2 linked regions of the Oryctolagus cuniculus genome follow. The protein of the gene in region 1 interacts with the protein of each later gene in a pairwise test. Links are inferred from orthologs where the notes say so. Each region holds a gene or a part of one and is shown on either strand. Other genes may lie near its edges.

What was found.
Region 2: the proteins of ESRRG (region 1) and NR0B1 interact in binary tests that used the Homo sapiens proteins (3 or more experiments, as listed by UniProt). The link is inferred for Oryctolagus cuniculus from reciprocal best matches to the Homo sapiens genes ESRRG and NR0B1.

The regions. Positions count from the first base shown.
Region 1 is NC_091444.1:30,737,147-30,740,667, reverse strand, and holds part of ESRRG (estrogen-related receptor gamma), read left to right. Parts: intron 1-2,268; coding exon 2,269-2,513; 3' UTR 2,514-3,521. UniProt on the Homo sapiens protein: Orphan receptor that acts as a transcription activator in the absence of bound ligand. Binds specifically to an estrogen response element and activates reporter genes controlled by estrogen response elements.
Region 2 is NC_091453.1:16,770,223-16,772,937, reverse strand, and holds the end of NR0B1 (nuclear receptor subfamily 0 group B member 1), read left to right. Parts: intron 1-1,633; coding exon 1,634-1,878; 3' UTR 1,879-2,194; downstream 2,195-2,715. UniProt on the Homo sapiens protein: Nuclear receptor that lacks a DNA-binding domain and acts as a corepressor that inhibits the transcriptional activity of other nuclear receptors through heterodimeric interactions.

The sequences.
Region 1 (3,521 bases):
GCTTCAGACCAGGGCTTTAATCCACTGCGCCACAGTGCTGGCCCCAATAAATATAAATATATATAAATTAAAGGAGTGATTGTGTGGTGCCATTTAAAAGAAACAAAGAAAAGCCTATTACAGCATGCCTGTAATTTCCATGGCTGTTTTTCCATAGCTGCACGTGGCTGCAGACAGTGCGTGTGCACATGAAATAGGTGAATGACCATGTAGAGGGGAACCAGGCTGGAGAGAAACATAGGTGGAAATAGTCCACGGGGAAAGGCTGGATGTATTTTGGGGATGCCTTCCGTATACTCCAGGGCACCATTATCAATGCTATTTCCTTTTTGAGAATTTTTTGTTTCTACCAGACAGAAATCGAGTCTTGAGCAGTAAATACTTGCAAAGCAGCTCTACTCCAGATTATTCAAAATTCTTTGGAAGAAATGTACACACCAACCTGTGATCCTCTCACCAGCAATATGGTGAAATATTGAAAATAACAGCATAAGAGAAAAAAAACAACATACAAAATACAAAGAAGTTTAAAAACACATGTTGCTAGTTAAATCCATCTATCTTTTCACTACTTTGCCATATTTCTTTAACGTTATATATTTAGCCACTTGATTTTAAATTATGTTGTGTCCCATTTTGTTCATGTGATATATATTTGAATTGTATGAAAGATTAAGCTAACCACATATATCTTAGAGCTCAGCGTTCTCAGAGAACTAGAATTATTAAACATGAAGAATCCCCCAAAGACTCCATTATGTGTAATTAACAGATAAACTGTCATCAGAATCAATAAAACGTGCTAAATGATTCAAACTTGTATATAATTAAGTGTCTCTTTTAGAGCTAGAGCTGTAACTTTTATTTTTTCCCCACATCTCACATTTCTCACAAGAATAATTGTGGCAACCTTCTTAACCCTTTGTTTGCTTGATTGGATTAATTTTCAAATTTGTCATTTAAGGGCAAGGTTCGCCTTCACAAATGTGAAATATGTGTGAATACTCAATAATCTCAAGACACCATTCGCTTTTCAGCAACAGGGAAGTTGACTGTGCATGCATGCTTTGAAGAATAGTTAGTAGGACATTCAAAATCCTAGAAAGATAAGCATTTTTTTTTCTTTTTTATTGTTTTGGCCTAGTGCTAGATTCACTGTGTTGACACAGACTTCCTAAGGTCTTAGTCTTCAGCATTGTTCCCCTTTAGAAAATATGGGCTTTTTCCAGGCAAGATTAGAATATATTAACATTTTTAGAAACATAATTTTTAAATTTTACCTATTTGAAAGGCAGAGCAACCAGAAGAGAGAGATAAAGAGAAAAACAGATGGAGAGATACTTGGGTACTGGTTCACTACCCAATTTCCACAAAGCCAGAACTGGCCTGGATCAAGTTGAAGCCAGAAGCCATGTCCATGCCATTTAGGTGGCAAGGACTTAACTCCTTGAGCCATTATCTGCTGCCTCCTGGAGTGTGCTTGTAGCCAGAGCTGGATCAGCAGCAGAGGTGGACTGAATACTCAGAATTCAGATATAGGATATGAGCATCCCCAGTGACGGCTTAATCACAATGTCCTCCCCAGTTTACTTATTTTTAATTGATTTTCATTTGAAAGACAGAGAGACACACAAAGGTCTCCCATCTGCTGGTTCACTCCCCAAGTTCTCGCAACAGTTAGGGCTGGGCCAGGCTGAAGCCAGGAGTTCAGAACTTAATCCAAGTCTTGCATGTGGGTGACAGGAACAGAAGTACTTCATTCGTCATATGCTGCCTCCCAGGGTACGCATTAGTAGGAAACTTTCATCAGAAGTGGAGCCCAGACAGAAAACTTAGGCAGTGCAGTGTGGGGTGTGAGGATCTCAGTTGAAACATTAACCACTGCACCAAATGACTGCTCCAAGTTCAGAATTTTAAGCAACTTTATCTCACACAGCACTTAGAATAATACTTTTAATAGATGGCCTTCCATAATTGTTGAGCTGAATGAATAAATTCATGAGTGAGGTAATGAATAAAAGACCCAAGATTATCATCTGTTAACAGAATAGCCTTTTCTTGGCCAGTCTTAGGAGAAAGCACAAGTTTCCAATAATAAGGAATTCCCACCTTCTAAACTAATATTTGAAATTGCTGATGGGGGAAGTTGGAAATGTGAGACTCTGAACTTTGAGAAGTTCAAGAACAATGCTTAACTTTTGTAACTTCCGTCTGCATCGGTTGATGGCGACTAATGTGATTCCTTGCGTTTTCTGCTTCGTTGTACAGACTCCATGCACATAGAAGACGTAGAAGCCGTGCAGAAGCTTCAGGATGTCTTGCACGAGGCCCTGCAGGATTACGAGGCTGGCCAGCACATGGAAGACCCACGCCGAGCCGGCAAGATGCTGATGACGCTGCCGCTGCTCAGGCAGACCTCCACCAAGGCCGTGCAGCACTTCTACAACATCAAACTCGAAGGCAAAGTCCCCATGCACAAACTTTTTTTGGAAATGCTGGAGGCCAAGGTCTGACTAAAAGCTTCCTGGGCCTTCCCATCCTGCACGTCGAAAAAAGGGAAAATAAACCCAAGAGTGATGTCGAAGAAATGTAGAGTTTAGTTAACAACATCAAAAACCAACCAAGACTGCACTGATATTTTAGCAGCAAGACTGTGAAGCAGCCTTCAGACTCCTGCGTCTTCCTGACGATTTCTACTTTTTCGCTCATCTTTTCTCCCTTTCTTTCATTTCTCTTCCTCTCCAGTTTGTTTTCTCCCTGCCTTCTTCCCCCCTCCCTGTTTCTTGGCTTCCTTCATTCGTGGTTTCTTCTTCCCCTCATTTCCTTCCTTCCTTCTTTCTGCTCGCCTGCCCTCCCTCCCCCCTTTCCTTCCTTCCTCCCTCCCTCCCTCCTCTTCCTCTTTTCTCATTTTCCCTTTTTCTTCTAAATTTTAAATGGTTCTAGTTGCAAGAAATATTTCCTTCCTCCCCTCCCCTCCCCTCCCCTCCCCTCCCCTCCCCTCCCCTCTCCTTTCCTCTCCTCTCCTCACTTCTCCTCTCCCCTTCTCTTCCCTGCCTTTCCCCTCCCTCCCTTTCTGTTCCTATCCTTCCTGCTGCTGCTGAACTTTTAGAAGAAGTCTAACAGAGAGTGGTGGAAGCCAGCCCTGCCAAAGGATGGAGATCCATTGTATGGATGCCAGTGACCTTAGCGTGAACCATAGCGTCCCCAATGACTGAGGAATCAAAGCGAGAGAACCAACGCACCTAGAAGTACAGTGCAACACAAACGAATTGACTGATGCAGTATTAGGCTTCACGGGAGCAGCCTCTGATTAGACAACCTCAGCCACGTTGCATCGGCTGCTGCTTATCATTGCTTTTCCATCTAGATCAGTTACAGCCATTTGATTCCTTAATTGTTTTTCAAGTCTTCCAGGTATTTGTTAGTTTAGCTACTATGTAACTTTTTCAGGGAATAGTTTAAGCTTTATTCATTCATGCAATACTAAAGAGAAATAAGAATACTGCAATTTTGTGCTGGCT
Region 2 (2,715 bases), on another chromosome or scaffold:
AATTCTATTCCTACAAACTCTCTGGGTTTAAACATAAAGATAAGGAGAATTAGGAAACTGTGGAGCCCACCTGCCATTTCTATTTCTTTACTTTAAAGGTAAGACTCTTTTGCAGAAAAAGCCGCAATTTTGGAGGGTGTGGGCATGGATGGGTGTGGTGTGATAGCAGAGAAAAGTAACGTGGAGGTCACAGATGAAGTTTTCATGAACCATGACTCTGGACCTGGAGGAACTTTGAGTTTCTGGTGGAGTTTCATGCAAGCCTCTTCCTTTCATCAGTGGGATTCAAACAATATAATTGAGTTTCAAGCCTGGATGTTGAGCTGTAGGTAGTAGGAGACATTAATGTGTGGACTGGGTAATCTGATTAGGGTATAGGTTAGACGTGCTGCATTATTTTGCTCTTATTTTATTGATCAGATATTTGCCTGTTAGAAGAGTGCCTCATATCTGTCACCATTAGTTTTTAGAGATCACTGATTGGTTCTGCTACTCTGTGATGATTAGCATAATACTTATAAAATATTATTCTGTTGAACTTTGTAGAAAAAGGGAAGGGAAGTGATTGCAATCATAATTGGCATTATTTAATCCTAATGATAAACTATTACTTACTTGAATACAAATTAAAGAACTTTGGAACGATATTACTGTCATGGAGAATCATAGGGCTTTTAAAAACAGACTCCTCTTACCACCTTCTGTACAAGGATTAATATATATAATACAATATAATAAAATAGTATATTAATATATATCCTTCTTTCCAGGGTTGCATTTTCATTCACTTTACTTAAGTATCCACTTGACTGAAAAGAGGTCATGCATTGTCTATTAAAAAAGTTCTGTTTGAACTGTGTTGTGGTCCGTGATATTCTAGTATTTACTTTTAACCCTCTCAAGACTGGAGGAGAATTATTTCTAAAATCTTTTATTTATATATATATATATATTTAAAAAGCCTTTTGGAACACTCATTAGAAGCACCTCCCCTTTTTATAAGCCCCCCAATACAGAAACCATGATACAATGAACTAAATAGCCAGCATTAGTTTTTAAATTATTTTGGGCCTCTAGATTAATATTGATCTGCAGCAAATAATACAGTGAAACCCAGGAGTCACAGTTTGTGGCCGGGGAGTTTACCACTATTGGTTGAATAATCAGTATCATGGTGGGAAATTTGTGGACGGATGGTAAAATATTTGCAGATGGCAAAACTTATTGTACAGTGGACTGTTTTCCATGGTATAAAGCCCAGTGCTCTCCTCCTGAGATAGCATTATTTTTTTTCATATTTGTATAAAAAGTGAGCTGGCACAATGATTCATTAAAGTATACTCGACTGTCAAATTAGGCGTGCACTTGTTGGCTCACAGCCAGCATTTTTAAATGTGTGTATACAAGCATTGTGGATATTTAATAAGGAAAATCACCTTAATGTTTCATTCTTGGAAGTGTTGTTTCTGGAAACTTACAACTGGTTTGGTATTTTATCTGTGCTCTCAAAAACCCTTGAATCAGGAATCTTGAGCTTTTGTTTAATTGGGAAGAGGCAGAAAGGATAGATTTAAAAATCTAGCAAAGGATTTGTGATGAGCCATTTCTAACAAGGAGATTTTTCTCCCTCCAGACCTGCCAGGCCTGCAGTGCGTGAAGTACATTCAGGGACTTCAGTGGGGAACTCAGCAGATACTCACTGAACACGTCAGGATGACGCACCGAGGGCACCAGGCCAGATTCGCTGAACTGAACAGTGCTCTTTTCCTGCTGAGATTCATCAATGCCAATGTCATTGCTGAACTGTTCTTCAGGCCCATCATTGGCACAGTCAGCATGGATGATATGATGCTGGAGATGCTTTGTGCGAAGTTATGAAGCCATTTAGCCCATACAAGCCAAGTTAACCGTGTAAGAGGTGTGGATAGAAGAATGTCAAATATTGTGAAATAAACTTTCTTATTATTTTTACATGCATAGTATTTTTGTATTCAATTAAAGAAATAGTTTAGTTATAGATGATTAACAAAGCCTCTGTTCTATGATGTTTCATTGTGAAGGAAAACGTTTGTCAACAAGTAACACACTTCTGTACATCTTTAAGAGAAGAGCAGGGTATTCCACTAGTCAGCTATTTCCAAAAGCTTAGTCACTGACTCCAATGTACCTGCTCAAATTGAATTTGTAATATTACATTTTAATAAATTTTAAGGTGTTAACCATTAACATGACTGAAAAGTTTCATTGGGGGCTTAACTAAGACTTCAAAACTTATTAAAACCTAGTCAACATAAGCAAAAAATACCTCTCTAAGTAACATGGCATTTGATGTTATGGCCTGCCAGTGTTGTTAGGAAAAGACTTTGCTCTGTCTTCATTTCCACACCTGTCAGTTACATGGAAGACTGTCTTTGTACCCAAAAGGAGACAAGAAGCAGTGTTGGTTGGAGAGCCTCATAAAAATGAAATATGAGAATTTTTAGTTTTCTTTTGGGATATTTCTATACACCATTATGGAACTGAAATCAAGTTTACGTTCTATAAGGAAGAGTTATAGTTCCAGAACTCAATATAATTATAAACCCCTAATTACCTTTCACCTTTTAGATGTGTTGTCTATGTGACTGTAACTTTGAACAAACATGGCAGAAAATCGTAAAGTGACTTCACTATGGGTTCCTGGTACCTCTTGCATTATAATCCACAGCACTGCTT